Caenorhabditis elegans: one gene and its partners. The main gene of each other region encodes a partner of the protein of the gene in region 3 in a complex. Each region holds a gene or a part of one and is shown on either strand. Other genes may lie near its edges.

Evidence for each region.
Region 1: ife-3 (region 3) and pid-1 share a complex: the UniProt entries of both Caenorhabditis elegans proteins name them as parts of the pid-1 variant of the PETISCO complex.
Region 2: ife-3 (region 3) and tost-1 share a complex: the UniProt entries of both Caenorhabditis elegans proteins name them as parts of the tost-1 variant of the PETISCO complex.

Annotation. Positions count from the first base shown.
Region 1 is NC_003280.10:7,686,187-7,697,199, forward strand, and holds pid-1 (Protein pid-1), read right to left. Parts: upstream 4,371-11,013; 5' UTR 4,318-4,370; coding exon 4,264-4,317; intron 4,214-4,263; coding exon 4,103-4,213; intron 4,057-4,102; coding exon 3,944-4,056; intron 3,899-3,943; coding exon 3,832-3,898; intron 3,785-3,831; coding exon 3,620-3,784; 3' UTR 3,504-3,619; downstream 1-3,503. Other genes in the region: F18A1.1 (Receptor L-domain domain-containing protein), read left to right, coding at 18-446, 706-1,241, 1,359-1,862, 2,025-2,424, 2,470-3,503; nhx-2 (Na(+)/H(+) exchanger protein 2), read right to left, coding at 4,634-4,862, 4,910-5,019, 5,067-5,234, 5,278-5,367, 5,542-5,685, 5,737-6,010, 6,238-6,563, 6,612-6,745 and 2 more; B0495.5 (thioredoxin domain-containing protein), read right to left, coding at 9,823-10,132, 10,181-10,316, 10,363-11,013. UniProt on the Caenorhabditis elegans protein: Component of the pid-1 variant of the PETISCO complex which is required for the biogenesis of a class of 21 nucleotide PIWI-interacting RNAs (piRNAs) that possess a uracil residue at the 5'-end (also called 21U-RNAs).
Region 2 is NC_003281.10:4,872,093-4,882,858, reverse strand, and holds tost-1 (Protein tost-1), read left to right. Parts: upstream 1-4,547; 5' UTR 4,548-4,548; coding exon 4,549-4,687; intron 4,688-4,737; coding exon 4,738-4,847; intron 4,848-4,962; coding exon 4,963-5,142; 3' UTR 5,143-5,333; downstream 5,334-10,766. Other genes in the region: clec-5 (Deleted in malignant brain tumors 1 protein-like), read left to right, coding at 1-74, 117-907; C35D10.1 (ER membrane protein complex subunit 7 homolog), read right to left, coding at 1,590-1,758, 1,806-1,966, 2,552-2,785, 3,008-3,112; arx-6 (putative actin-related protein 2/3 complex subunit 4), read right to left, coding at 3,457-3,534, 3,580-3,680, 3,726-3,945, 4,086-4,196; C35D10.12 (Methyltransferase type 11 domain-containing protein), read left to right, coding at 8,108-8,185, 8,425-8,645, 8,691-8,773, 9,113-9,241, 9,285-9,412, 9,572-9,874, 10,137-10,292. UniProt on the Caenorhabditis elegans protein: Component of the tost-1 variant of the PETISCO complex which plays an essential role in embryogenesis. Within the complex acts as an adapter which binds to the complex via erh-2.
Region 3 is NC_003283.11:2,794-13,993, forward strand, and holds ife-3 (Eukaryotic translation initiation factor 4E-3), read right to left. Parts: upstream 5,037-11,200; 5' UTR 5,026-5,036; coding exon 4,858-5,025; intron 4,817-4,857; coding exon 4,640-4,816; intron 4,601-4,639; coding exon 4,365-4,600; intron 4,318-4,364; coding exon 4,143-4,317; 3' UTR 3,795-4,142; downstream 1-3,794. Other genes in the region: idpp-2 (Intrinsically Disordered Protein, expressed in Pharynx), read left to right, coding at 58-226, 2,745-3,173, 3,231-3,718; B0348.10 (uncharacterized protein), read right to left, coding at 5,782-5,946. UniProt on the Caenorhabditis elegans protein: Recognizes and binds the 7-methylguanosine-containing mRNA cap during an early step in the initiation of protein synthesis and facilitates ribosome binding by inducing the unwinding of the mRNAs secondary structures.

The DNA of each region.
Region 1 (11,013 bases), on a different chromosome or scaffold from region 3:
AGATTATGAACTTTCAGACCAGGAAGAACCAAAAGTGAAAATTAAACTGATCAATAATCATGACGGATGGTTTCCTATTGAAGAATTACGATTCAATTCTGATTTGGTTAGAGATGCAGTTCATATTGATACTCAAGAATACGAATGCTCTTTTTACGAGGATCATAACTTTTTACCCAAATATGTGAAGCTAATTGACAAGTTGGGATCGTTTGCAGTTCGAATAGATCACAATTGTCGATGGAGATATTGGAATTTCGATGTTTCAAATATTGATATCAATTATTTTGATTTAAAGTTTCGAAGTGATCTCAACTACACGTCAGACGTCTTTGTAGCATACATAAAAATTCAAGGATTTGGGAAAAACATTGAAACTCTCAGAGAGAAAGTTGTTAAGCCACTCCGTTTGAATTGGATCAGGGATATTTGTAGTGAACAAATAGGTTAGTACGTTTTGTAGGCAGTTCGGGATAGATGACAAAATGCCAAAATGTTGCAAAACAGCTACAGTACTCTCTCTAGCACCTCCTTTGTCTCATTTTGAGAGTTTTTATCTTGGCTGTCTTTGGCTTTATTAAAACAATTTCGAATACTTATTTTTAAAAGTAAACGGTTTTTGATAAAAACAATGACATGCGAGATATGAGGTGTTGAAGTTGAATGAGCAGTGAGGGCACAAGACTAATAGTGAACAATTTTCAGTGTATGAAAATGGATGCCTTTTATTTGAAAACACGGATCCAAGTGGTGTTCTATTATTAGAGGAGCTTCGTCAAATTCACTACAACAGAGAGAATTTCAAACGATCAGCTCCATTTGTCTTGAACTTGCAAAAAGAAGATTGTCTGCACATTTCAAAGAAAATCGAACTGTACGAGAAATTTGGGATAGTTGCTCTTCAAATACTTGACAATTGTCCAAAACAAGAGAAAGTATTAATATTAGATGGAAGACAGCCCTTTGATTACGTTACGAATCGAGATGATATCAAATTTCATAAAGGTGATATTGTACGTTACGCAAGAATTCGATACTTTGCACTGGATGAACACTTGGAAAGATTAGAGAAATGGTTTCTTCAATTGGGATATTCTGATGTCAGAGAAATTGGTAATATTGATGGATCGGCTGAATATCCAGAAGTTGCTGTAATCGGATGTATATCAACTTTTATGCCATTCCCATATCTACAAAAGACCAGAAGAAATTATACATCTTTGGCAAACACGAAGTATACTGTAAGTTTAATTATTGAAAAACCAAGTCTTACATAAAAAGTGAACAAAAATAGTGCTGTAATTAGTTGGCATGATCTGTAAAATTGTATGTTTTTCATATAACAACTCTATATTCAGATTCCAATATTCTATTTTCGAAACAATAGTGGTCTTGACTGTGAGGAAAGGAGAGTTTCAAATGTTCTTCGACGTGTTTTGGGTAGATTCACAGTGGCAACATCTCGAAACTGTGAGTGTGGACCAGGGACAACGTCTACGACAATTTGGAAGAACTGTCAGTTACACCGAGGAACAGTTGAAATTACTGGATCACCAGAACAAAAGAGCCTTTGCAAATATAATTCGATTCGTAAAATTCAAGATGGTCAACTTTGGATCCATGATACTTCTACTGTTTCCAATTTGGATAGTTTTCCGCGTCTAGAAGAAGTTGAATGTGGCCCCGTGTGGAATGAAACTGATAGGAGAAGGTTGTCAGCTGTAAGAATAGATGGATACAATCAGAAATTTGAACATGTGGAGCTACTAAAGATGAAGAAAAAAGACGATCAATGTTTGAAATTTGTAGCCGTTGTTGGTGATAAGAAAAGACTTCCAAGATATTCAGAATCTGAGTGGATGGTTAGTTAAATCTTTTTGAAAGTCTCTCATAAATTGCTGATAATAAATAATTTCAGCAGGAGCACGATGACCTAAATGACATAGCTATCAATAGAATTGGAAAAAGTAAGAATTGAGTTTTAGAATATTGTATAAATTTATACATATGTATTTGGCTTTCAGAATGCGTTGGGTATTCTGGAAAATTTGGTGGTTTGGCCCGAATTATCCCATCAACTCGACGATTGTGAAGTTGTGGAAGGAGATCTTGTAATTGATGGAAGTGCTGGTGGTGTATTGAGAATGGCATCGGGACTTCGAAAAGTGAAACGAGTTCTTGGGAATGTGATCATCAAAAATTTAAGATCAGACTTCTGTGAATTAATCAAAAATCTGAAATACATTGATGGTGATCTCATATTTGAAAACAATCCATATCTGAGAAGAACTTCATTATCGCTGCGAGCTGTTAATGGAAAGATTCGGATGATTAGAACGCCTCAACTATGCTGGGAAGTTCAAAAACTTCGTAAAGTGGTACAAGCTTTCAAGATGAAGCATATATATTCTGACTGCGCCAACAGTAAGTTTAAATTCAAAAATCAAATGAATAGGTTATTCGTTTCAGTTGAAATGGACACTTTATTTGAAGAATACGAAGAAAAATGCACATTCGTGGAAATAATTGTGAGCCTCTGTGTATTGGCGTCAATTTTGATATTTGTTTGCTATGTGATGATAGATGTTGTGATCATCTTCCTGAAATCCCTGAATTTCACTCGATGGAGAAAAATAAAAGAATTGGACATTCATCTCAAAACTGACCCAACAGCTTATTTGGACGAAAAATCTTCAGATGAAGAACCTGATGTGATGACGTGGAAGAGGAGAATTCTGGTTAAAAATCGTCTGGATGGACGGGATGTGATGGGAGAAAAAAGGAAAAAGGAAATGAAAGAATACCGAGCAAATCGAAAAACAATTAATTGGAGACGGAAGCTTGGAGCATTGACGAGATCCATTCAAAAGAACGAATCGGATAGTGAGTTCTCAGGACAAAGTTGGTTGAGAAGAAAAGAGTCAAGAAAGAATGCAAAAGAGATGAATGAAGATCAAGGAAAATATGAAAAAGAAGGTCTTCCGATTGCAGTACTGACTGGTTTAGGAGAAACAAAATGGAAAGGAAGAACGAAGAACATGGCACTTGAGGCAAGAAAAGCTGATGAACGAGAATTGGAGTATTTTGAAGCAGTTCATAAAGCGATCAAAGAAATAATTGACGATGCAGAAGGTGACGAAGAAGATCGAATTCTGATGATTTTGGAAATAATGGAGAAAAGGAAAATTATTGAGCCGAACGAAATTATCACGGACACGAACAAATTCGAAGAGCTTCTGGTTCAACTGGAAAATCATTTGAGTGAACGTGAAAAGGAGAAGTGGATTGCCTGGGCTAAAAGGAAACAACAATTACGAGAGACGGCGATCACGACATATGGAAAAGGAAAAAGCTTTAACATCTACGATAAGCCAGTTAATCTAGAAGAAGATTATAGACTGAATGCTGGTGTTGATAACTCGGAAATGTTTGTGAAAGTGAAAATAGAAACGATGAACTGGAGGTCTTCGGATGAGAGTGGAACTGAAGATCGAGAACTTTAACTTTATGTCGTTATTTTTAAAATGTAATTTATAAAATTTTTGAATTCAACGAAACATCATTTTTATAAACTCAAAACAAGATGAAACAGTAAAAACAGTAAATTAACAGTGAAAACTTATGCAATATTCGAAGGAATGTCGTCGAAAATGGATCTGGCTGGCTTGTGATTGGCCGATACTGGGGTGTGCTTCTGGGGGGTAATTCTTGGACTTCCAGAAAAGGTGAACTGGTTGCTGGTATTCTGAATCGCTGGAGAGAGGAATCCACGTCCAGCTGGCAACTGAAAATGATATAATTTTATGCGTGAATTTAATATTTATTTCTTACCGGATTAGATAGGCTCAATCCGGCTGAAAGTGGTGAGCCAGTTCCATAATCATTCTTCTTTTCTTTTCTGAAAATTAAAACATTTGTTATAATATGTGGGTACTTCACAAACCTATAGATAAAATGAAACTCGTCGCAGTCATTATGTTTTTCGATGATTGTTCTCGGCTTTGCTTTCATTTCGTATCCAAGGGCTGCCAACTCGAAACGATCGCTCAACGTCACCTAAAATTAAAAAAAGCTTTCGTCATCAACATTAATAGATTATTACTTTTCTGTGAAGATTTGTATTGTAGTTGAACCGTTCAGCGCATTTGTGTGCGATATTTGTGTCTTTTTCAATATCCGAGTCGGTTTTTAACGAATTCTGATCGATTCTTTTCTGAAAAAAAGTTTTATTGTTATTAATTCTGAAAAAATGATAAAACTCACTTTAAATGGTGTGGATGCCAAAGTAATATGCGAAAACTCCCTTTTAGCCGACATAATTGGAAAATTCGAATGTCAGCCGAAGAAATTGTGTGCAATAATTTTAACACCGTTACTGTAAGTTTTAAAGACACATGTCCATTTTGAAGGCATGGGTCTCGAAGCGAAAAAACTTGTTACGGTAGCGCGCAATTAAAAAACTTGTAAAAATCTTTTTTTTTAGCTTGTTAATTAACGTTAACAAAATATATGAGAATATAGATGCAGAAAAAAAAGAAATTTCATTCGATGAATGTACATTATTGAGAAAACACAGTCTACCTATTTGAGACTAGTTTAAAACAGAAAGAAATTGTAAATTAAGGTAAAAAACCTATACTCTTTCGTGGAAGCTTCCTGATTCGTCCGATTCATACCCATCGTTTTCAAATCCATCATTGTCGTTGATTTCGCTCCGAACCGAATATTCAACTTCAGTTGTTTCTTGGAATAAATGAGTTGGTGTCATAGGTACAGTACTATGATCATCATAGACTGTTACTCCAAAATTCTCTTTCATGTGTTTGGTGAAATCTATTTTACTAGTCGAACTTACTCCATCGCTGAAAGTATTTGGAATAATTGATTTCAGAAGTTTGAAGAAACTTACATCATTGTATTTGTTCGACTTCTTGTATGTTCAATAAGAGCTTTTGTAAATACCATATTACTATTTAAATCTCCACGTGCAATCTTCTTTGCATCTTCATCAACCAAATGCTGTAAATTAATTATGAATAACAATATCATTAAGCGTATTACCATACCTTGTACTTTCTGACCAATTTAGTCTTATCCATCTCCTTCATATTGTTCTTATTAACTAAAATTGGTCTCAAATAATTATTGTTGAGTGCATTCCACGAATCACGAATCCAATGATGCCCCTTGAAACCGGCAATGTCTTCCATTCCAGCCATAGTCGTGTCGATAAGCTATAATTTTCATTTCACTGGAATTTTGGTTCTGAAAACTCACTTCGCTGTAAATATGCTCAATCATGTTCTTTGAGTGAACATTCTTTTTCTCAACTTGTAGGAATTCGGCAATTGGTTTCAGTGTAATTCCCTGAAAATGTTAAAAATCTATTTTAGAAGTATTGGAAATAATCCAGATTTTTTTTCAAAATTTAACTAGGCACATTAGAAGGCTATGTAAATGAAATGCTGAAAAGTAATAGTAAGGTATGTTTTTTAAAAACATCACGGGTATAAAATATAGCTAGATTGTTTAAAAAGATACCTGGAGGAATACAGTGAAGTAGATGACAATGATACAACTGGTGACAAACATATTCTTTCCGGGTATAAAATCTGGAATTGCAACGACAAGACCGTATGCAATGGCACCACGAAGACCTCCATAAGCCATGATAAATTGGTCTACCTGTATGAAACATATACTTTTTTTTATCAAATAACACAAATTAATTCTCACCTTTGTGTACTTATTCAGACGATACTTATTCAAGAAATAGCACATAACAACAACTCCAAGGGTACGGTAGATCAAGCAGAAAACTACAGTAAGAACGATGAAAGATGTGTCCCAGTGATGGTTTGAGGATACTGTTGAGAGTCCCAAAAAGACAAAGATAACTGTTTCCGATGCAAGAGAAAGCACTTTGATGAATGATTCTGTGGCTTTTACCGTGTCTGGGTCCACATTTTCACGGCAGTACTGACGCATGGCAGCACCACAAAATACAATTCTGCAAAAATTTTATTGAAAATTAGTTCTAGTTATATTTTGTTTCAGTTTTACAGCTCTGGAAGAGAATTACGGTTTTTGCCAAAACTTTTCATATTAGTATCTTCAATCTCTAGACCTTAAGTTTACATTTTAAAATTCCGATTTTTAATACAAAATTTAATATGAAAATATGAGTAGGGCTAAAGTTTCAATATAAAAAAGAAATTCTGAAATAAATTAACTTACGCCATAATACTTGAAAGACCGAAAAGTTCTCCACAAAGATAACAAGTGTACGGAAGAATGAGAATAAATACAGAATTGAGCACTTTGACCTCTTCATCTCTAGCAAATCTTGTAACAAGACTTGTCAAAAATGCAAAAAGAAGACCAATTCCAATTCCACCAAATGCAACAACCAGGAAAGAAACACCTCCATTGATATAATCAGATGTTATCAGATTCTCAGTTCCAATTTCAGAGAAGGTCAAGAACATTCGATAAAGTACAACAGCAACTCCGTCGTTCAATAGAGATTCTCCGAACACGGCAATAAAAAGAACTTCGTTGACCTGTAAACTTTGACTTTGTTATCAGAGAAATTTGGGAGACTGTCTCACTTTCAATTCCTCGAAAATGACAATTACAGCAACTGGATCTACATCAGCAGCAACTGAACCGAAGAGAAGCATATGCATAAGTGGAGTTTCAACTGAGAATAATCCAGTCAAACTGATGGCCCATAAGGAGAGAGCTGTAAATTATTAGATTTATTTCCAAATTTATCTTTAACTAGGCATAACGGTTTCAAAGATATTCAAAACTTTTCTAGACTATTTCAAATTGTTATCTTATCACTAAAATTGCTAATGTCCTTTGAGGTTACTATTTTTGAAGTTACAAGCTACAAAATTATCATTATTTTTAATTGGAGTTTGAAAATTCATAGTCATGTTGTTTTACTTTGTACATAAATATATTAGTTGTGAAAATATTAAAACTAACCAATTGCGACAATATTGAATGAAGTTCCAATCATTGCAAAACAAAGAATTGATCCAAAATTATCGAAAAACTGTCTTGCAGGCATAAAGTATCCGGCATCAAAAACAAGTGGCGGAAGTAGATAAAGCATGAATACTTCACTTTCCAGGAAAAATGCATTTTTATTGACTCCGATCAATTTGAAAATGATTCCAATAATTAAACCAATCATGATGAGTAACGCGGAATCCGGGAAAAGTTCATTGAGATGTGGAATCAAGTTGAAAACTGAAAAATTGACAATTTTTAGACTGTCTTTTTAATATTGTAATAACTATTGTTTATTCTTTTTCTTCCAGGACATTCAAGTTTTCTTCGAAAGACTTGGAAAGTTGATTATCAAACAAACAGATTTACAATTTTTCAGAATAATTTTGATCTCAAAACATATATTCTTTGTAAGATTATATTTAATTTATGATAGACCGAAAATGCCAATTATCGAAACAAGTCTTTTTAAGTGTCAACTCTTCAATTCCCTGATTCAATTAGCAGTTTAATTTCCTGAGCATCCCAAAGTGGCAGCTACGTACTAATTTTCGCAATCGATGCTCCAATCAACCATAAACAAATAGTCATTGGAATCTTGACATTCTCCCATTCAAAATAAGCAATTGGATATCTAGATGGATATTCTTTTTCTTCTTCTTCACATTCTGCTCCAACATAGCTCATAATCAATAAAAGTCCAACGACGAGCACCCAAGGCCTCCGGAGAAGAGACATGATTTAATCACTGAAAATTATTTCAAATTCCAAGAATCAAAACAACCGGAAATAGTTTTTTGTAAAAGTTCAAAAAGAGCATGAGAGAGAGACGAGAGAGCGCTATGTGCTCTTGATGTTAAAGCAAACGAAGAACTGATAAAAAGTAATTGATAATAAAGAAGAGAAATAGAGATACGAAAGAGAATGAAATTGGGAAACATGGTAATAGGATTGGAATCTTAGGTATGGCACTTGTGTCGACAGTATTTAGAAGCCGATTACTGTCATTTCCAGGTGAAATTTGTGATTAAATTTCAGGTCTTAACATCAATTATCACAGTTAATATTGCTTAGAACAATTTTTCGTTGTGTTAAAGGTACTGGTAGATGTTTTCAAAATGTTCAGTAAACGTTTTGGCAGATTGCCAAATTAAAAAAAAAAACTTTTTGAAAAAGTCTTGCGTGTCAGATTTCCTGAAAAATTCTACGAACTACAAGAGTGTAAGTCTATTAATATATATACTTTTTTCCCAACTTTCCAATTGCAAAAAGCTGGTCACCATATTTCCTCTATTAGGGATCTAGTAGTATTGCAACTCTGCGAACTAAGAGAAAAGTTGCAATACTATAAATATTCCCAATATACTATTTTTTTCGCACAAGAGAAAATAGAAAAATGTGAGTTGATGAGTAGGAAAAATTGTTCTATCTGATTTTTGTCATTATTTCTTCGATATCTTCAATGTTTCAAGGACAACAAATTATAGCAATGAAATTATACAAATTAAAAATAAAATAGTAACGCAGGGGGTACGGTAAGTTCAGAAAATTAAAATATCGATGTTCATTTGGCAATGACAAAAACATGGCATAACATACCACACCCGGTCTATAAATAGATTGAGAATTCAAATGTTTCGTAATTTTGACCACAAAAAATAAATTCACAAGTGTTTTCAAAAAAACCGGGAGGGAGCAAGGAAGCCACGTCCGCATGATAGTCGACAAAAAGTGGGGGAAAAGGCCATAAAGATAAGCAATTGAGAGCAAGAGAAACGTGTACGCGGATGTGACGATCGAAAGGTAAAAAGTAGATCAGAACGGGTTAAAATCAGATATTATTTGGAGCAAAAAAGGACCAAAGAGTCAAAGGGTTTTATTCCCAAAACATTTCTGGGAGATTACAGATGCCTTAATGCTAAATACTACATCTAACATTGTGAAAATTTGTTTTGAAAAATACTAAAAGAGGAAAAAATTGCTATGATTCAAACTCTTCAATAAGATCAACTCAGCCTAATTGGAAATATACTACAATCATTTCTATGTTATTACAGTTGTTATATGATTTACCTTTCACCTCTCATAGAACTTCCATATATTGTTTAGCAGATGTAGTGATAATGATTCAGGTACTCTACAAAAAATTGGATACAAAAATGCCAATATATGGGCGTGGCTTCACAAAGAGCAGTTCAGAAATTCGTCTTCTATGATTCTCAAGAAAATTGCCAAAAGTATTCCTATTCCAGACTAAATAGATCTATTTGAAAAATTTTTATGAGAAGTGCAGTTAATACTTGTCAATAACTTGGAAGGATCTAAAATCAAAAATTTAATATAGGATGTACCGTTTTTATTTTTTAAAGTACTCGAAAATATATATCATTTTAATTTCACACCTCTCTAAAATAACAATTTTAAAAAATTAGAAAAATCATAAATAGGCTTCCCTAGTTACATATATATTCATAAACTAGAAAATGAATAATAATTCATTCTTATCAAAAACTGAAACTAGTCTCTGGAATCAATAAACCAATTCAAATCGTGCCATTGCGGCCGAAGAGCGCTAATAAATTAGCTTGTAAAACTTTGGCAGTGTCGTCAGTGCCTGTGATGATAAGAGAACCGTCCTCTAGCACATTACATGCAAAGTAGTACAATCTGTTAATTTATCAGTAGACACGTGGTGGTCGCCACAAAGCTGAAACTGATGTTCGATAAATGACTAAGCGTTTATTCAACTGACAAAAAATGACATATTTACAGTATCTGGATAAGACAAAATCTACACATTCAGAATTTATTGAATAGTTCTTCTAATTCCTGAATGGCTTTAACTGGTCTATCACAAACGAATCCTTTACACATGTACACTGCAGGTTTCGGTCCTTCAGCCATTGCCTTATGAGAAGGTCCCGATGCTGACAAATCTTCTTCTGATTGAATATGTACAACAGACAGGTTATTCAAGAACTTTTGATTCAGTCGGCTTCGAGTTTCGGACAAAAGTTCAGATTTCGGATCACCAACGAGAACAAATGTGGTAGATCCAATTTGCCATCGATGAAGTGCGACTGCCATTTTTGGTAGGGCGATTGGGACCCTAAAATTAAAAATGTTGCGAGCTCAAGCAAAAGTTGTTCGATATTACGTATTCAGTCGCTCTGAAGCTCCCCGGAAACACTGATTCGCCTTCTCACGATATTCCTCCTTTTCAAGAATGTCATAAAGCCTAAGAAGGTTGTTTGATGCGATTGAAGTGGCTGTGGGCTCTGCTCCATCTTGATCTGAAATTTAAGTGTTATGTGTACTAATCAAAATTAAAATAGTAACCTTCAATCATTCTCACAGAAACATCTTCATCGGTTTTCTCGCTGATGAAGTATCCATTTCCGTTCCAGAACTTTACATCACAAATTTTCTGAAGCTCAACGGCTTTCTTGAGATATTCATCTTTGCCAACTGTTGTATAGAGATCCAAAAGAGCTTGAATCAAAAACGCATAATCGTCAGAAAATGCTCTTATTTCTTGATTGCCTTGTTCAACTTCTCCATTAGCACCCAAATATACAGATCTTCTAAGCTCTCCATTATCGTCTAAAAATTTTCCGATGAATTCTGCACACTTTTCAGCTCGATCCAAATATTTTGTTTCTTCAGTAGCTTGATATGCTTTCACAAGTCCTGTGATTGCTAGTCCTTGCCACGAAGTAACCATTTTTGAATCAAGATGTGGGCTTGGTCTTTGTGTTCGAGCATTCCACAAAATTTCTTTTGCTTCATCGATTCCTTTCTTGAGTTCCGCAACAGATATTTCGTGATTCGTGGCACACTCCTCATCAGTCAGCAACTTTCTCAGGACATTTTTATTCTTCAGTTCACCATGGGGATCCGAAGATCGTGCAACATTTCCACTATCTTCAACATCGAAATAATCAGCAACTACATCGAAAAGTGAAGCTGATCCAATTTTCTTGTCTCCCA
Region 2 (10,766 bases), on a different chromosome or scaffold from region 3:
AGGTAAATGGCTGAATGGAAACTGTGAATCGGACCCGAGAGCATTTGTCTGTGAACTGCCAGCTACTCATGCAGGTAAGTAGAAAATTGTTATTTGTATACTATAAAAGTATTCAGACAATTGTACATACAATTACAATGGACATTGTTTCACGCTTCATACGGAACGGAATACTTTTGTGCAAGCTCAGGCAATTTGTGAACAAGAATGTGGAAATCTTGCCTCAATTCATTCTTCTAACGAAAACCGATATTTAAGTTCAATTATGAGTTCAATTATGAACTTATCGAATTCCAGTGTATATATCGGTGCGTCGTGGCCGTCATCGTCTGTATTCAATTGGTTGGATGGCTCTAACTCTGATTACACTAACATTGATCAATCGTTTGGTCATGGAGGAAACTGTGCTCTTTTATCGAATTATCAACCAAGTGTAGTTCCGATGGGTTATTGGTTTAGCTTCCCATGTACTGCCGCTGTGCCTTTTATCTGTAAAAGATCAGCTGGCATCAAATGTTCTGGCACTCCACCACCAGTAACAGTAACCCCGGTTCCTTCCAATCCATCATTTTGCAATTCTACACTTCTGATTGCACCTGGTGTCATTACATCTCCAAATTATCCGAGCAACTACGACAATAATCAATTCTGCTCTTATCATCTATCAACACTCGGATCTTATCGAGTGCTTCTCCATTTTTCAGCGTTTGCCACAGAGGTAAACTTTGATCTCGTTGTGGTCTACAATGGAGAATCAGCTAGTAGTTCACAAATAGGAAGGTATAGTGGAAGTTTGGACCCGTTCAGTGTAGTTTCAACTGGAAACAACATGTTTGTGACATTTAAAACAGATGGAAGTGGTGTTGCTCAAGGTTTCAGTGCTAGATTCACATCTTTCACACTATGATTGTTCTGGATTTATTCAATAATAAAAACTTGATTTTTTCAAAGCTTCTCATAAACCTCTCAATCTCTCATCTCTCAACGCATCAACGCATCAGCATCTGATATTATAAATTGACTGACTCATTCAAAATCTACTCAAAGCACTTCCTCAATTGATATTGGTTTCTCAAAAGATCATCGCTTTCGCGAGCATTTTGAATTCCTTCCAGCGTCGCTCTCGCAATTGAAATGTCATTTTTTAACTATCAAATTCGAATGTATACAAACCTCTTTGCCCTGTTTCTTTTCATGAGTCATCAGTTTTTCTTTTATCTGTTTTCGGAATATTTAGGTTCTAATTTTTCACTTAGGGACATCAAACTACAATTTTAAAGTTGTACTGCTCTGAAAAAACTTTTCAGAAACTCTATAAACATGGATCAGTTTTGGTGAAGTTAAAAAAAGAATAAAGAAGAATGAATGATTAATATTCATTTATCTAAATAGTTATTACAATAGAGCAAATAAAAATATGAATAGATCACGAAAGGGAATTTATAAAAGTCCACCCGGATTGACAGAGGCTGACTATTTTGAAGCGGTTTTGAGAACAATACATTAAATTCAAAAACGGTAACCAATCGATACATTTCATGAATTGTGGAAGGAATTACGGCATTTCGAGTTTGTCATTTTGAGAATATTTATTTTCTTCGTTGTCCACTGCCACTTCCTCCAGTTACTGCTTTCTTTTTGGCAGGTGCGGATCCTCCAAAGAAGTTAGCCATCATTTCACCGACATCTGGCATATCAACTTTTGGCATTTGCATGTTCTCCATTTCTTTTTTGAGTTCGGGATCATTTGCTGTCATTCTGAAAATTTGGAATTTTGCAGATGAGCGATTTAAGAGGAAGCATACTTTGGAAGAATTAGCATGACAACAAGTGGCACAACGAGCATCAAAACCATCGGACTGAACAGCATATCAGTGATTCTCCATTCTTCACGTTTTCTGAAGTAACGAGCAGGACCTCGTGCTGATAAACGGAGTGGATATGGGAGAGTGTTGACATTGTTCGGCTGAAAGTTATGAAGATTGAAAGAAAGTTTCAAATAACTCAGAAGAACTGCTTAAGGGCCTCTTGAGATTTTCTGCACAGAATGTCTATATCTATATTTTCCAAGTTAGAACTTTTATAAAAGATTCGAAGCGAAACAATACGGCTTATTCCTAAAACAGTCATTTTCTCATCTTGTGTCCAAGTTTTTATAACACATTTATACAAATAAAATTTTAGAGAAATATTCGTTTTTCTGCAAATAATTTTACTTTTAATTGAAAATTTATTTTTAAAAATGCCTCAAAGTCGCAATGTGTCAAATGTCAAATGGCGATCGGCATATCGATATTTTTTAGTTAGTTTTGGAGCAGCTTCTGAAAACTTTCAAATGAAAGTAAAATTTTTATCAGAAGTTACAAATATTTCTCTATATTTATATATTAATTTGCAAAAAAAACTACGACGCAGTCATGATAAACAGAGGATTAAAAAAAAATTTTTTCATCACACGTTCGGAGGAGCTACGTCCGATTTTAACCGTTTTCTCCCGGTAGTTAATAATTTACGATCGAAATTGTTTGATTTGTTCCGAAATTCAATATACCTGAAGAATTGTCAATTTTCTAGCTCTCATCTTTCCTTTTGATGTGATATCAACGCGAATTGGCTCAAAGACAAAATCTGTATTTTCGATTTGAACAATATAGGTTCCAGTAGGCACGAAATCAACACGGAATGTACAATCTTGACGAACAAATCCCATATATTGGCCATGGTTCAAATGAATACGAGCACCTGCGGACCATTTTGCACAATTTCGAGTAGATGGAAGTGCGATCTGAAATTTTTTTTTTGAGGACTATGAAATATTTAATTTACAACGAATTTGTTGTTATTAGAATAGGAACCTAGAAGATAAAATTTTAAAAAATGTGAGAACTGGAAAAAGTATTCAGAAGCATATAAACGTTGTCTTAATTTATAATATGACTTCTCTATGAATATAGCCAAAATGATCGATATTTTTAATCCAAAAATCAAACATTTTTGGTATACGAACCTCGCCTTCGACGGAGAATAATGTCGATGTTTGCTCAGTTCTGCTCACTTCTTCTGTTGCACTGCCGAGCACTATCAGGGAGAATAAAAGTAGAATAGACTTCATTTCTGAAATTGATTTGTCAATTTCCAACTTAATAATCATTTTAAAATATTAAAGCTCGTAAATGTTTCACGAGATATTTCAGATCATACATATTGCAAAAATTGAATAAATAATTCATAAAGTCAGTGTGCGGTAAAAAAAATCGATAATCAAAAAGGCAAAATAGGACCTAAAACAGGAAATTTTTGGGAGGGGAGTCATTTTCAGAAACAAAAAGTGAAAAAATTGAGAATAAAGATGATATTTACACAAATTGATCAAAAAACCGTGTTCACATAATAGTTTAAAGTCTTCGGAATTTGAGTGAAAATGAGAAAAATGAATTGGGAATCATGGGGAGAAAATTAATTGAAACGCTTCAAAAATTCTTCAGCAGAAACACGGGCACGGGCGTTGAGAGACAGCTTCATCTCGGAAATTTCCTGGAAATTTATGGAATTTTTTAAAAATTAACTTAAAATGTTCACCTTATCAATTTCCTGCATAAAATGAAGCAAAAAGTCGACAAGTTTGTGCTTGAACATTGCTTCTGTGTGAGATGCTGTGATGAGGAACGAGATGTCATAACCTAAAATTATCGCTTTAATCTCTGAATATTAGTATTAATTCTGACCTGGCAGTGGCTTGCGACGGAGCACAAAGAAGTTATCGGCTCTTTGGCACATGAATCGAGTGAACTTGTGGCACAGAATCTTCTCGATTTCGTCGGATTGTTTGATGGCGATTGATATTCTGACAGAATTGACGGAGGGTTCGATGAGTACTCGTTCCTGTTTGTTTCGAGCAACAACAACTGGCGTCATGAGCAGTTCTTTCGATGTTTGAACTTCCACCTACAATTTTATTATAATATACAAATAGAATAATACATTTAAATAGTTTTTGAGCGAAAAACTATTGCAATTGGCGGCGGACTGATTTAAATTATTCAATCTTCACACTTTGCAAGTCATTTTACTGTTATAAATCTTACTTCTGGTTTGTTGTGTCTCTCGACCACCTGCGAACTGAATTGCTCAAGACAGAGAGCTGCCTGGAGCGTGTGACGCACGGCCTCCAGATATGGTTGGAGTGTTGCGCTCATTACCTGCAATGCGCATGCTTATTGATTTTTTTATTGACGAAACAGTTTGAGACATTATTTAGAAGTGAAAAAAGATTGCATGGAACAAAATAAAACATGAAATACCGGCGAAAATCGTAAAATTGGAGTCGATAATCCGAAAATGAATCATTATTTGCGTCGTTTTGAAAGTAATGCAAACACGCTCCGCTGCACTTTTTGTTTCGAGTAGCGCGCGAAGACAAATTTATCATCCATTCTTTTAAAAATTGTCAATTTTAAAATTAATTTTCTGATTTTCAATCATTCCACTTTCCCATTTTGCAAAATATTTTGCGTTTTCAGTAAAATTTAAAAATTTAAACCTTTCAGAATGACTACTGCCATCCAATATCAAGTTATTCCTTTAGCTGACCGTGAGCACAGCAACAAAGTGGCGTCGATTCTGGAAAACAAGTACAAAACTGCGACAAATAAACGAATCACATTGAATGAGCGCTTCGGAGTTCTCGGTAAATGTTTTCAAGCATTTTTGAATCATAATAACATAGTTGTCTTCCAGAAAAGGGGTACACTATTCAAGCCACTGAGCCAGAGACTGTCAAAAACGATTCTGATGTCTTCTTTGTCGTTCACGACCGGAACTTGAATTCGAAAAAGGAATTTGTGGAGGTAATTATTTAGACTATTCGAACTTTTAATCAAAGCACTGATATTAACACAACTCTTAATGTTTTCCTTAAAAAATGAAACTTTGAGATTTTATGAGAACCTGGTTATGTTTCAGAACTATCTCGCAAAAAATCCAATTGTCAATTCACCGGAGAAAGTTTTCGAAGAGGAGGACAAGGAGAATGCACCGACCAAGAAAGCTGTTTTGAAGCCGTCCTCTACTGATGAGAAGAAGCTCACCAGCTCGGATATCTACATTCAAGAAATCACCAGAAGCATTCTTCAATCCGTTTAATTTTTCCATAAATTGCAAAATTCATTTTCCAAAATTTATGTATTTTTCTCACAATTTTTGAGCAGCCCTTTTCTTCTTTAAGTGTTATAATTTCCCTCGTTTTCCCACACCCATGAACTTCAGTGCAAATTTTCATAATCTTATCCTACGATTTTCTGTGGTATTCCTTCGATAAGTAAATCGTTCAAAGTAAGTGCTTGTTTGATTTTCGTTTGAGCACGCAATAATTTCAAGATTGGCATAAAAAATAACTGAAATGGGAGCAGAAGTAATGGGAGAACGCTATGCTTCAATGCGGGATTTATTGCGCATTTGGTATTGAAACGAAAAGAGTAACATTTAAGTTCAAAGGACAGAGCATATGTGTGTAGGGGTCTCGCCGCGAGAAAAACATATTAAAAATAATCTTCTGTTAACGTAAGAAGACATTTAAACCAAGTATCTTTAATAAATACGATTCCCGCGGCGAGACCCTTTTGTATAAGCGCGTCTCCCTTGAAACTTGTAGAATTTTGCCAAAAATGCACAATAAGTGAATTTTCCAGTGGAATAGTGTCGGAATACAAAAGTGTTGAAAATCCTGATATGTAAACTACTACTACCGGAGCCGAAGCCGCGAGGAAGTCTACCTGAAAGTGAGAAAGAATCTAAAGATCCTCAGTCAATCCCCGAATGAATAATAACCGATCAAAAGAGCATGTGCTACGATCTGAACATCAGATAAAATTTGAAATTTCCTAGGGAAAAGACTGTTCTGAAATATGTGCATTTTAAGCATTCAACCTCTCAATTGGTAAATCGACTGAGTAGCGACTTACAACATGGTGGTGTGATACGGAGGTGCATAAAACACTTGGGAATAGGCTACGGAGAAGCCGAAATTTTTGAGCTGTATGAATTAAAATATTTAGATATGGAAGAATTAAAAAAAATATCAGAATTAGGCAGTTTTTGAGGTAGAAAATTCCATAAACAAATTTACTTTACGAATTTCTTACTGCAATGATATTTTTGAAATATGTCCATTTTTGTAAAAATATGTTGAACTCAAAATATACTTCCCAGTTATGCGCATTTTGAGACCTCCATCTATGAATTGGTAAATCGACTATAGTAAGTCTGAAATTTCTATTCTATGAATTTTTTGATTTTCAATCTTCTTTTATTTAAATCCTAATCCGATGTGACATTTCCTTCAACCCTTTCCTTTTTTTCCAGAAATTGCTCTTCCCAATTGCTTTCTTATTTCTCCTTTACGATGACTACTCGCCACAAACTCGTCATTATCTCGTCATGCTCGACGAGCAGCCCTGGCTATAACCATCAAGCTCGCAGAGCATGTTCTCATTCTTATTTTTGCAGTTCAAATCTTGACTGATCTAAAAAAAATCTTGACTGATCTGTATTTAGGCGGAAAAATGAACTGGAAAATTTTCAAATGGCAATTTCAGCCCTAAATTTGTTTGGTTGTCTAATCTAGACAGTTTTTAAATAGCATAGATCTGGTTCCAACGTTTAAGTTAATATTATATAAATTTATTCTTTCTATTGTCTGAAAAAGTAAGTTTCTTTAAAAATGATGTTGTGATAGGAAAAGCAAATTCGCTGAGTCTCATGATTAAATATGCATATTTCTCAGGAAGATAATATATCAGTATTGCTCTTTGACTCTCTGTCCTTGAATGTAATATCCATGTCTTCACATCTTCTTCTTCTTCTTTTTTTTCCATTTTCCTTTTCAATGCATGTATCAAAACGACATCGTCTCTCATGTCCAAATCAATGACGGTGTATATGTGTGTGCTCTCTGAGGGGCTCTCCGTGCTCCGGGAGAGCTCTTTTTCGTGTCTATGTGCTCCTGCTTTCTCACACCACATCCATACTCTGTGTGTGAGTTTGCTTGTCGTCAGCTCGTCTAGAAGAGGATGGAGCAAGAGAGAAAAGAGCAAAAGCCCCCCTGTCCCTGCTTTCTCTCAGCCAAGAGGGGTAACTAAGAGACGGACTCGCACGCACCCTACATCTAAATCTGCAAGGTTTATCACTTGATTTTCAAATACTAAAGATTATTTTTGTTTATCTTGTGATGCGGCATGACTTTACTCTTATTTAAAATTTCAAAAAAAAATTAAAGCTAGAACAACGTTTTCGCAGTTTTCTGAAATGTCTTCTACCAAATTGCGCAGTTTGTTCAGATGGGTCTCCACGAGAAAAAAATTATAGAAGAATTTTGATCTATCAAGTACCCCAGTTTTCCTTTTAATGGTGTCATTAACTGGCTTTTTTCAAAATAATTTTTGAATTGAAAAATATTAACATTTGCAATGTAACATAAATAGGATAAGATTTGGATTTTACCACAAAAAAAAAGTTGAAAGTAATATGATGGCCAATCTGTGCGAGACTCAGTCACAAGACCTTGGGAACAACTAATTTAAACGATGGAGAATAATCACTGTCGGGCGAGAGGAGGGCGCTCTAATGTCGCCTCAACAAAATGGAATGCCTTCATTCTATACACAAAACAATATTACTAAGAGTAGGCCCGGTCAGAAAAAATTACTAACAAAAACCAATTTTTCATAGTGAAATATTGGCTGAAACCTAATATCCAGGAAATGTTTTTCCTCTTCACAATTTACTAATTGAGTAATAATTCATGATGCACACTTCATTTTTCAATTTTCCTCATATTTCGCATCCTTTTCTATATTTTATTCTTTCATTCTCTCCTTACTTTCCACTTTCTCTCCTTGCATCGTTATTAGAAATTGACCTATTATTTCGCTTTCTCCTTCAACAAATCCTCTCTTGCAAATTTATTCATTTTCTACTTTTGTCGGGTCCAAACAAACCAGTGTCTATGCCAAACTTTTTCAGAGTTTGAGACGATTTCCTTTAATGTTTTTGTTCATCATTCGACTTTGTTTTAAAATGAAATGAAACAATTTCAGATGCAAAAAACAGTATGAGCATAAGTTCGGAAAACGTTGAACAAGAGTATGTTCACTCGATTTACTCTCGATTGGCAACATATCAACAAAAAGTAAGCTTCAATGGTAGTGCTTTTTTTTTTGGAAATTTCTATTAAAACTATGGTTCAAAAACATATTTTTTTAAAACACACATAGTTGGAACAAATTTTAAGTTTTTTTCATTGTCTGGTGATCTAGAAGAAAATCCGAGAATTTGGAGTTAATTATTTCTATAACTCGTATAGTTTCAGCTAGGAAAAATTCATAACAAAGTAGGCATTATAAAGTATCAAAGAAGAAACTCTTTCAGGAACACAAGCCCTCATCTCCACGTATTTGGCCACGTGTCCGTCAATTTGTGGATCAGCAATCTGCAGGAAGTATCATTCTAGATGTTGGATGTGGCGAAGCAAAATACACTTCTCAAAAAAGCCACGTCATCGGCTTTGATACGTGCTCCGAAGTTCTTAGTTCGAGTAAAAAAGATGATATTGACTTGTGTTTGGCGGATGCAATAAATATTCCAATTAGGTTTCTTTTTGTATTTTTTTAGAGAATACAATGTTTTATTTTCAGAGACGATAGTGTAGATGCAATTTTAAACGTGTCTGTGATTCATCACTTGGCGACGACTGCTAGGAGAAGACAAGTCTTACAAGGTAATTATGAAAATTTTTAATTTCTGGAAATTGAAACCGTTCTAGTCCTAAAACTACGAAATTTAAATATTATATTTGTATGGTCTAGAAATACCGTCTGGTCAAATCGCGAGTCTAATAGTTATGGGGTTATTCAAGTAATGTAGCAAAATGTATTTAAATACATTTGTGACGTCACAAATGTATTAAAATACATGTTTTTATGTATTTTAATACAGTTGTGACGTAATTCTTCTACACTTTTTAATTTTCCGACACTACTTGAATAACCCCATTAGTCTCGTAAACTGTCAGTCTAATTAAATCTTAAATTTCTGGCAGCACTTATATTTATTCCAGAATGTTCTCGATGCCTCCGCATCGGAGGTCAAATGCTAATATATGCCTGGGCCTTTGAGCAACCAAATGGAAAATTCGCATCCCAGGACATTCTTGTTCCATGGAATATGCACGAAACTGCGATTGGAGGTAAATAAACTATATCCTTTTTTGATGTCTCCTATTGTTTCAGGTCGTCTTCCAAAAGTTAAATTTCACTTGAATACTACCAAAGAACAGCGGGTTATTGCTGCTTCAATACCAGTAAATATCTCCGATGGATCGATACCCCAAAAATGGTTTTCGGGAGTTTTGAGCAAAGTGGGTTTATTATATTTTTGCTAATTTGGTGCCACTGCAAATGTGGGAGAAAAACTGGTTATATTTTGAAGTTTTCGAAAATCAAAAATTTAAGAATTCAATACTCAACACTTAATTAAAAATTCCCGAAAAAAAATCAAAAAATTTTTCGATTTGCAGGTAGTATCCCTTACTGACCAGCTTCCGTACTTTTCAAAACGCTGTCCAAATTCACCTGCATACAGTAACCAAAGTACTCCTACTGGATCCTTATCCTCTCCAATGGTTCAAAAACTTCCATCAGCTGCTCCACAATTCCTTCCTACAACCAACTCATTAATTTCTGGAATAAAACGATGGAGTCCGATGCTTGGACGACGTTTAGCTTCACTGTTAGTTCCAGTTGAAGAGCAATTTGGGGAAGAATTGGCACAAACTATAATGCGAGAAAGTATTACTGAAGCAATGGCTACTTTGAGAGAGGTAAATTAGAGACAGTCTTTTGAAAGAAAAACGATTTCCAATGTTTAAAGCTGAAAATTTCTCATAAAATTGTTTTCAAACTTTTGTTCATGTACGTTCAAATATTCCTACAGACGAAGTAAGCAGATTCGTGAGCATTTTTGGACCTACATAAAAGCTTATAACTACCTTTTTAAACTTCAAAGCTAACGAGGATTACCAAGCTGCGATTTTACTTACAATTAAATTAAGAGATTTTCAGCTAATAATTTTCCATTTTCAGGTCACATTCTACCGCTTCTATCATGTTTTCAAAGACGGTGAACTTGCCGATTTAGTAGATTCCGTGGAGAGTCTAAAAGTCGTCTCAGCAACTTTTGAACATGGCAATTGGTGTGTAATTGCTGAAAAAGTGGCGGCAAATGTCATTCGACCATGAACATTAGGAATCATCTCGTATTGCACATATCCAAAGTTCGTTTGAGAACTAAATCTTATGATCTCGAAAAAAATAAACTGTATTTATGTAAATAAGCGTTAAAATCTTACAAATTAATACAAAACGTTTGAAGTTTATGCAGATTTTATCTTTCGCTTCTAACTAGGTTGCAGGTGGACATGGTGTAACGGACATTTGGAGCTCGAGAGCTCCAATGAGAAACCAATGGGAAAGCATAAAATTGAATACATACTTTTGACAAAACGCTGTTTTAAAATAAACATTTTGACAAAAGAAAAATAAAATAAATTTGAAGCTTCATTTAAACAGCATTTAAACTGGGAATCGATGAATGCTATGATTTTCTAGAGGCTTATGAAATGCGGATGCCTGTTGGAGAATAAGATGTGCTGAATGAAACAATCGAACTAAGCAGCGGAAAGAGTGTTTTTCAAGTCTTGTGAATCGAATAAA
Region 3 (11,200 bases):
CGCGCCTGCCTACCATTGAACCTCTAAGCTATTCAGTTGTATTTTTTGATATTCCAGATGCGTACCGACGTGGGTTCTATTCCATTAATGTGTATTCTGTCTACACTAACGACTGGTGTGTTCGGATATCTTCCGACAGAAGATCTCACAAATTCGATAATTTCTGGAAACGGTGGTTATCCAGTTCCTCCGGACACTATTATACCGGCCGATGGAGATGAGGAAGGTAAGTGGATCAGAAATTAATAATTATAAATTTTTTAGAGTAGGGTTTTCTTCTGAAATCTGATATTTTGTGAATTTTGCAAAAAATTGGAAAAATCGACAACGAAATGCAAATTGTTTCGTTAAATGCAAAATGGATGCGCACCTTTAAAGAGTAAAGTCTATGAAAATGCTTTTATTTGGTATTACAGTTCTTTTCAAAGGCACACATATTTTTCCCATTTAACAAAAAATCGTCGTGACCTTATATCGTATTTTCGGCGCAAAAATCGGAACATTTCGCGTCTGTATAATACCCCATTTAAAGGTTTACGACGCAATAATACAACACCGGGTCTCGACGTGGCAAACGATTGTTTATTGATTTTCACGGGATTCTCGCCTTTCTCATTGAATTTTCGCGCTCCATTGGCAATCGCCTGCCGGACAACGCGTGGAAAAGTGTAGTGTACTCCACACGGACAAATCCATCGGTTTTACAACTAAAAACGAGCCGCGACGCGACACGCAACGCGCCGTAAACCTACACAAAATCTCGCAGACTCAAAATGGCCTAGTTCGGCAAACTCTGCCATTTCGATTTATGAGGGAGGCCAGAATTCCGTGATTTTCCCATTTCTCACGGCCTCTCTAAATTTCACGTTTTTCAAAATTCATCTTTTTCTCTCTGCTCTCTCACTCTCTCACGTGAAATATTACTTTCTGAATAATAATTTGTGTTTAATTAAATCAAATTTTATTGAAATAGAATTCATGATACACGATCTTGAGAAGAGCTCTGTCCTCCAGGCTGCGAACTGGAGCGTAGAAAGTTTTCATATTGTTAAAAACTGCAAAGAAATGTTCGATTCCTTGTTCTGACGTGTGATGCTTTCTCAAATATGGAATTAAATGACAGACAAGGAGATGAAGTTTCGGAGTGACTCATTATTTCATCAGTTTCATTAGGAAAAACACTCTTTATTTATTCAAGGAACTGTTAAAGCAAAACTTCAATTTTGTCAATCTCTTGGTCTAAATACGTTCTATCGTTAGATAAATCTAACTATCTAACTGAAACGAGTACAACTATATTGTAACGCAAAAAAGCTAAGCGCCATAAAACACAAGTAAAACAGGCTCCAGTAAGCCTAAACTGTTTTTACTATAAAAAACCATTGTCATTCACCTACCTACCAAATGCCAATATAATTGGTTGAAAAAAATTAGTTTAATCTCCTCGCAAGATTTTTTTCTCCGAAATTTAAGATTGGGCGCTTAGTGATATCATAACTCTGCAGCCATCAGAAAAACTGAAATGTATTTAAACTGTAAGTTTTAATCGTTTTATGAGGATTATTTCTTTAGTTGACAGTTTTTTGATAGCTTCTTTAGTTATTGAGCTACGGGCTTCCAAACAAAACCAATCAAAAACCACTATAAACCACAATGTCCTAAAAGTGAAATTACTCAGTCAATTTTTAACCAAATCACGGCATTAATGTCTTGATATCTTCATTGAACAATTTGTAAAAATCGTAAGGCGGTAGTTTTTTGATAAATGTCATCGTTTTTTAGTAAAATTGCGTTAACCATTCAAAAATGGCCCATTTTTGGTGTTTTCAGGCCTAATTCTTGTTTTTGAAATTCCGGAGCCAGTTTTTATCGAAAATTTTTGTGCAATGTCAAAAAATGACCGGAAAAAAATTCTCTACAATCGTAAGGCGGTACTTTTTAAAATTTCGTTTCCATTCTTCCCCAGGGATCCCGTAAAAAACCAATTTTTCGACTAGGTCTCACATTTTGCCCTACAAGAGCATAGTTAATGTTATAAATTTGGATTTTTTGGTCGAATTTGATGAGGTAATATTCAGTTGTTTGTTTATTGTTGGAAAATCTGAAGATTTATCAGCGAATCGCCCGATTTCGCCAATTATGACCAAAAAACCCCTAGTTTAGGATTTTCACGAATGGATGAGTTCATTGATACGCTTCCACGCTGTTTTTGGTTTCATTCAGACGCTACTTGCCTGATCTATCAGTCTAACAATTTTTGTTTAATTTTCTTCACTATCCGCCGTTTATAGTTCGTTCTTCCGTAATCAGTGCAAAATCGGTTCAAAAAACTCACTCTCTCGCCCATGAGAGACGCAGAGACAGTTCATCACGTTATTTTATTTAATTATTGAAATGAAGAGAGGCCGTGATTTCTGCTTTTAAAAAAGTTGATTTTTGGAAAACTTGTCAAACAGCACGTGTATTTTTCTAATAGCTCTTTTCGAGGCATGGGTCGAGCTGAATACACGTGAAACCGAAAAAAGAACAAGAAAAATCGAAACTACAGTACTCCCTAAAGGCGCACACTCTTTTCCATAAATTATTTTGTTTGATCGTCTCGAGACCTGGTATCGTAATCTTGCGAAACAAATCGCGAACTGTCGCATCTCATTTGAAAACTGGGCAAAATCCTTATTTTATGTAAATTGGAGCTCATTTGGCGCTGTAAAATGCAAAAACATAATAAAAAAGTGCATTTCCAGGTTCCCCAGACGAAGAATCCGACGTTGATTCCGGTGATTCAATTTATCGAAAGAAAGTCACCACATTCCGACGACGAAACATAAATGCCCCATTCGGAGTTCGTGTTCCTTTCAGTAGAATGGCCTATAAAGCCGGTTATGGATCAAACAGAATGGGCTATCGGAACACGGGATCCCCGCCACCCCCACAAATAGGTGGCCTCTACGGTGACCGTAATCCGAATCCATATGGCACAGTGAATCTTGGTGGAGGTTCCCCATATCCTGGGGGTCTAGAAGAGTACAATATCCGGCCGGCCGCTCCATTTTCCGGACTGGTCGGAGGAAGTCGATCTGGGTACTACGGGAGCACTGTTGGTATGAGACGGGGTGCCGTTGTGCCGCCTATGAGCTCCAGGAAGACGAAAATTCCACAGACTGAGTATCCACGTAAGTATACGATTTTTCTATGCGCTATAAAATTCTTTAAAATCCGCTATTTTCCAGCTGATTACGCATCTAACGACCTGATGAACAGTTTCAATGGAGCTACAAATTCCGCGATCCCATCACTTCGCGAGCTTGCCACCTATGCGTCACGCTATGGTCCCGCATATCTTCGCGAACGATTCGGAAGCCATGATTCCCAACTTGAGCGTATGCTTTATGGCGGCAGTGGACCACAGATCCCATCACGTGGAGGAGGAATTCCCATAGATTACAACATGAACATTGCTTCGAATCACTGGAACCGAGGAATTGGCTCTCCGATGGGAATTATGTCGCGGGATGTTGATTCCTATCAACACGACGATGCGGCCAAAGCAAACAAAAAGACCACTACCGGCTCGCCGAGCACGACGAGCACACGGAAACCTCGGAAAGCTAGGAAGCCAACCAAGAAGACTGTTGCCGCAGCTCCTTCGTCTAGCTCGAACACATCGACTACGGCAAAGCCTGCAAAAACTGTAAAGACATCGGAGAAGTCTGCCTGAAAACAAGAATAGAATCAATTTTTAAAAATGTACAAAATCAAACGCCCTACAAATCATGTGTGTGAAGAAGAATAATAACTAACATATCTATTTATATTTACCGAATAAATATATATTCATCAATTAACCTGAAGAACAAACGAATTCGGCTACAGGCGTCGATCAGTCTCGAATCTAGTAACAACAAGAGAGCAATACGAAAACCGGTAAATCAATAGGGGGAAGCGAAACAGTAGGTACAAATTGGAGGGGAAGCACCAATACATTAGGTGGGGGGTACGACTTGAAAAATGAGCTGATTTTCGAATAGTTAAAGCGATGATCGTGTCCGAAAAACAGTTCATTTTTCAAGACAACATTGAGACTGGGAGTACGGGGAAGCTCATTTACGGTGAGAGGAATTGGTGAGATCTTTAGAATATGCTTAAGGAGTTGGGGTGGCTGGAGAAGTTCCTGTAGCCTCCGTGCCGGGATTCGATGGAGAAGTCGTTGCGGCTGGTCCCTTTTCCTTCACTGGTGCTGGATCCTTGGCTGGAAGACATATGCGTGGCTTGACAGTCGATGAGGTGCGAGCCGACGAGTCCTTGTGAACTTCGTATCTGGAAATATTTTACTTAGATAGCAAATACTAAAATTGTAAAATTACCTCAAAATCTCAGTATCCGGAATGCTCAATTTCTGCTTCAAAACCTGTCCGATGCGAAGATTGACATCATCGCGAGTAGCATCACGAGTCCACAAGGAAACCTTGTCACCCTTTTGACGAACATTCACGACAGCTCCGCAGATGTAGTCTCCGTACTCGTCGAATTGCTCTCCAACAATAGCCATCAACAGCTCCAACCAGTAGTGATCGAGCAATTGCGTTCTTCTCTGAAGCTTCTATGATTCATTGAATAAAATATATTTCTCAAAACGTACTTGCTTATCGACAACAACCAACCAACGTCCACCTTGAACGTTGTTGACGTCCTCCCACATTGGCTTGATTCCTTCCTTGAACAAGTAATAATCGGATCCCCAGTTCAATCCTCCGGCAGACTGAATGTGATTGTACAGCGACCAGAAGTCCTCGACAGTGTCGAAAAGTGAAACCATCTGGAAAAAATCGATAAAAGACGTATTTAAAAATCTTCTACCTTCAGACAATCCTCCCATTCCTTGTTACGGTCAGCTTTCAAGTACCAGAGAGCCCAGCGATTCTGGAGGGGGTGTCTGGTGAGAAGCTCTGGAGGAACTGAAGCATCGGACGCATTCACATCGCCGGAAGCTGACAATGCTTTGTTTTCCGCTACGGATGTGCTCATTTAGCTGAAAATAGGTAATATTATATACGATTAGAGCTCGGAAAACGATAAAATAGAGAAGAGTATGAATTTGGTTCAAATAACTCGGATTTTATAGGAAATTTTGTTTTACTGCACATTTTCGGCTAGTTTCCAAGCTTTTTAGATTTTTCAAGTGTAATTGGTAACATCGGGCACAATAAATTGATATTAAAGCTTGGAAAACAATAAAACAAAGTAGAAAATGAATTCAGCTCAACTTCGACGAAAAATCATCAAATGATTCGTTTCCCATGAAATTCCTAGTAGTTTTTAAACATTCTAGCTGTTTTTTAATCGTAAAAGTGAAAAAAAAAAGAGCGATTTCCCCGAAAAACCTTGGAAAATGAAGAAATGGAAAGAAAGGCGCGAATCCTGAAATTCAAACACCAGACACACGCAAAACGAGTGTAACCGTAGTTTTTGTCGTTGCGAAGTATCTTGTCTGCGGAATTGCGCCCCCCTTTAAACAAAACAGCGGAAAATATGAAAATTATTTTTGTATTAAAATAAAAATCGAGTTGTTTAGGTAAAATTTTTCAAATTTTATTGAAAATTCGGTAAAATAATGAAATTAATCGCTGAAAACTCGTTATTCGCACAGAAATTGAGCTCTTTCAGGGAATTCAGGCTAAAAAATTATATTTTCAGGTTTAAAATTCAAAAATTTATTTTCCAGATTGCAGTCGATAATCTGAGTTTTCCCAAAAAATGTGCATTGTTTACAGCCTGTGGTTCTCAATTTCTCCAATTTATCCACGAGTGCGTCTCCGTTTTCTTTTCTCCTTCTGCCGCATTCAGCGTCGCCGTCGTCGTCAGGAATTCATGAGCCGTCCCGGTGTCTCGAGCTCTTGTGAGCATACACACAGACACATACAGCAGCAGCCTCCACAACATGCACATATAAATATATCGGTCTGGGTGTTGCTGCTGCTGCCGCTGGGCGCCTTTTCCCTCTCTGTGTGCCTCAACTCGTCGCACATATCTCTCTCTCTCTCTCTCACTTTGCCTTGTTTTCCCTGCCCATCGTCCCGTAAAAAGGTGGCCAGACAGTTCTCCGAATCGCAGAGACGCAGCAAGCGTTGCCCCGAGGCGCCATTCGTCTAACCTACTGCGTCTGACACCCCGCCGTCAGACGACGTCGGGGGCCCTCCGACGACGACTTCTTTCGCTGTATTTCTCTCTCTCCTCCGTCTCCTCCTCCTCTCCACCACATCGATTTTCCCGTTTTAGAGTGTTGGCGGTGAGCCATAGTCACGAATACTTTGTCTATTTTTTCGGCGACGGCTGTTGGGCTTCTCTTCTCTGCGTCTCTCGCACTCTTGTCCGCCTTCTGACCGTCATAATTACCACGTCGTCCACGTAAAGTCTTCGGAGAGCGCCACGCCCCCACACACACATACACACAACATTTTCGTAGCCGCATTATTCTCCTAACAATCATCGTTTTTTGCTAGTTTTCAGTAGTTCCACAGACTTAAAGGAGGATCACCGAAATTCGAGACTTGGCTTTTTGGGACCCAAAATGTTCCAAAACTAATTTCGTAATGAGATGTTCTGAAAATTTCTCAAAAAAAAAAGTTATGACCGCTCGGAAAATGGTATATTTTCAGCTAAAATCTTAAATTTTGACAACTTCTCAGTGTCGCAGCGGTAGGAACTAAATTTTGATGTGATTATCACTTTTTAGTATGTATTTATTTATTTTCATTTCCACTCACACACGCGAAGCCCACAGCATTTGAAATTCTATAGTTTGTTTGCAGAATAGAGGTGTGCGGCACAAAAAGTTTACTGGAAAAAAGTAAACTTTTTTTGCGGCAAAAAAGAGTCGGAAGCTCAATTTTTTCAGACTCTTCTTATATATTTCGACAAAATAATTATGTTATCATTTCCTATTTAAGCGTCTTAAATTGTTCGCATAACAATGAGGAATTCCACGTTATATGGAAACGCTGTAAAAAGATCTCTGGTGAAATCGCGCTCCACGAGCTATTGAAAACGCTCCAAAAAACGAAAACTAGTTTTTTTTTTAATTTTTAAGTTCTTAATACTTTTTTCGACGTAAAATTCAATAAAAACAACGAAAATACCGTATTCCCTCTATTAGTCTTGCATGCAAGACTAATTTTCAATTGACCCGTAGGGGTGCAAGACTAATAGAGACTGCAAGACTATTAGAGGCTGCAAGACTAATTTTCGAAGATCCAATAGCTTTGTAAAATTGATAATTTATCGTCAAAAATTTGACTTGAAACTGTCTAAATCGTGCAAAATACATACTTTTCTATTGTTTTATCAATTATTTGAACACTTTAAAACTTAATTTGGCTAAAAAATGGCGAAATTTTTGAAGTTTTCACAAAATACTGCTGGTCTGGCAAGAATAGGGGTGCAAGACTATTACCGTATGCTCTCTAATAGTCTTGCATGCAATACTAATAGAGGCTGCAAGACTAATTTTCGATTGGTCCGTAGGGGTGCAAGACTAATAGAGGAAATACGGTATTTGAAAATTGGCGAAACATTTGAATTCACAGTTTTGCCGCCACATGCCTAACGAGACCTATGGTTTGGGGGCGGAGCTTTGCCAATTTTCCGTGGAGCGCGTTTCCACATCGATTTCGAATTATGTTTTTTTAAATCTAAACCAATGAAAAATTCAAATTCCTGTGCCTCCGGCTTTTCTCAAATTCAGCCGCGACCAGTGTCTATAACGGAGACTGGAAAATTCATATTTCTCAGATTTTCTACTGAATTTTTAAGTTTTCTATGGATTTTTAAACTTATTTTTTGGTAAAAAAAATAAGTCGAGTGAAATTAAAAATTTATCGAGTTCAAAAACTCGAAAATCGTTCATAAAATTCAAGGTGCTCCACGGCCAAAAAACCGGGTACAACAAAAAATTGGCGGTAAAACATTAAATTCGAACGTTTTCAATTATTTTCAGTAGTTTTTCGATTATTTTTACGCGAAAAAAGGTTATTATCATATACAGCGCATTTTTTCCATCTCTACGACTTTGAAGGGGCGCATTTACGCGCGATCGTCTTGACACGCGCCATTCATAGATTTTTGAGGCGCGTGACGAGACCATGCACGCACTTTTGAACACCTGGTGTCACAGTGCCCCATTTCGGTTTGATCTACTTAGATCTGCGAAAATGCGGGAGTTGAGACGCAGAGTTCTCAACTGATTTCGCATGATTAAGAACATGCTGACGTCACATTTTTTTACGCGAAAAATTCCCGCATTTTCTGTAGATCAACCCGTAATGGGACAACCTGACACCGCGTGTTTGAAGGGGCCACAAACTCGTCGTTTGGCCGTGGAGCGCGTTTGCACCTCGATTGCACTTTTTCGCGCAAGAGCCCATAAGAGGAACTAAGTTATATCAGATTTTCACTGGAACACACAACAACTTCCAACAGATTAGCTTCCTACTCGGTACTCTTTTTTGCCCCCCCTTGCCTCATTGTCTACGGGAGGGGGATCCTCTTGTGTAATACGTTATTAAATTATGCCTGTCAGAGCAGCAACACACACAGACAAGTGAGTCGTCGACTCAAAAAAAGAAGAGAAAATAGAAGAAGAAGTGGATCTTCTTCTTCTTTTTCGGCTTCTCACTTTTCTTGATGCACCATACTTTTTTTCTAGTTTCACTTGCCTCTTTCTCTCTCAGTTCCCTGAAGATTTTCGTATTGTTCACAACTTGTTCTCGCGAACAATTCTACGAAAAACAGTCGTGTTTTTTATTACGTGGAGTCAGAAAGTCCCATTTCGCTTTGATCTACAAAAAATGCGGGAGGAAATCGTAGACATCTCAACTGATTTCGCATGGTTAAGAGTGTGCTGACGTCACAATTTTTCTGGGAAAAAATTCCGCATTTTTGTAGATCAAACCGCGATGAGACTTTCTGACACCACGTGTGGGCGGCAATTGCCGGAAATTTTAATTGTCGCCAAATTGCTGGTTTACCGATTGGTCGGAAATTTAAAAATTTTTGCAAGTTGCGTCTTAAGAAATCGAGATGCAATCGCGCTCCACGGTCACATGCTCCGCCCCTTTAGTTTGAGTCTCATTACATAGGTATTGGCAGCAGATCCGTTTTAAACGCTTTCAGTATTTTTTTTGAATTTTATGTCGAAATAATGTTTAAAAATGATTATTTTCAAAAATATTGACATTGCAATTATTAAAAACAACGGAACAAATAACAAAAAAAACCAAAAAAATTCTAAAATGATTAAATTTACGGGTTTGCCACCAAATACCTAACGAGACCCAACGTTTGCGCAGCAAGTTCAATTGGCTTTGAAACACGATTGCGCTTCAATTGCGCACGTGGTCGCTGACTGTCTCAAAATTGCTATTTTCTCGCGGACGAGAAAACGTGAAAAAATTAGCAAAATGGCCTGCAAAACGGTGGAAGAGGAGTATTCCTCGTCCCCCGTTCGCGTAGTTCTCTTTCATCGAAATTAGGCAAAGAGGCAGCCAGTGAGCACGTGTATTGCGTATTAATCACATCCCCACAACGAAAACTGTGAAAAAACCGCTACAAAAATTCAAACTTCTCCTCGAGAAGTCCACGAACTACAAAAATTAAAAATTTCGAAAAAATGGATTTTCAGAATAAAAAAAATCAATTAAATTTGAAATTTGATGTCCAGAAGAAGTTGACCAGGAAAATGTATCATTAAAGCGTGTTTTCACTACCACGAAGTCCCTCTCGCACACTATCTCGCTCTCTCAACATCCTGAAATAAGTTTTTGTCAGTTTGGTCTCCATTTTTTTGTCTGCAAACGATAAAATCTAAAGATCCAAAAATAAAATTAGTTAGTTTTAACCTTGAAACCGCCCGTTTGAATTTAAAAAAAACAATGTGACTTGACATCACCGTCTGTGTTCGTCTAATGAAAAACAGCAGACCGAAAAAAAAACGGGTCTGTTTTAATTAAAAACTGATAGCTAGGGCATTTTTAAGGGTCCCGGCACGAAAGAAACTTTTCATCTACAGTACCCGATGGCATTTTTTAATTTTCACAGATTCCGCTTTTTCGGATCGATTTCAAAAAACTGTTCATAGAATCATAGAAAGTTGCCTCCTACCTACCTTCTTTTTTTACCAACCTACCTAACTGCCTACCTGACTACCTATCTACCTATCTACATTACCTACCCTACCTACCCTACCTACCCCACCAACCCTACCTACCCTATCTACCCAAATTATTTTTATTATCAAAAAACTTTTTTTTTCCTATTTTTTTTTTCTGTTTTTCGAAAATTCAAAAATCATTCACTATATATTTTAGTATATAATATAATGCCCCAGAAAGTGGATAATCACTTTTCTGAAAAAATTAAATTACAGTACTCACTCTTTAAAGGCACACGGTAGAAATCAGGGGGAGTTAGTATTCTTCAAAACATCGCATAAGACAAATATGATGTTTCCGATTTTTTTTTTTGATTTTCCTCTAGAATGTTGCTTCCGTCTCCTCAATCCATTTTCATTCCACATAGATTCTAAAACAGAAAAAAATCGATTCAGAAAAAAGTTAACAAAAAACCGTCGGGGTTTTTTTCTTCTTCCTCTCCCTCTTCTGACAAGAAAAAGACCGCACGTTTAATGTTCTAATAAAACATGTCTCGGTGTTTGGAGGCTCTCTTCATAGTCTCTCTGTATCTCTGTGCTCTTTCTCCCCCGACCACCACCACCACCACTACCTCCTTCAGCGTGTCGTCTCCAACTTTTCATCAGTGCCGCCGCCGCCGCCAACAATTTTCATTTTCAAAAAAAAAAGAAGTTTTTTTGCGGATTCCCAAAAAAAAATGGTTCGCCGATGATAGGATCGGTTAATCGCAAACTTAATATAGCTCGCTGGAAACTAAAATTCCAAAATGACTCATTTTCAAACGTTCTTCTCAATTTCTTATGTTTAATACCAAAAGTTTGCTTGTGTTTGGTGGCTTGTAACCTTTTTTTTATCAGTTTCCCGGCGAGACCTAAAATAGAAATTTTTATCGAGCGCCCGACATTTAGCGGGTCCCGCCATTAATTTCACGGCAAGAGCAGGAAACCGGGAGGTGTCGGCCGCAAGATAGTCTGTATTCTTTGGGGAAAACATTACAAAAAATTAACAAAAAATCC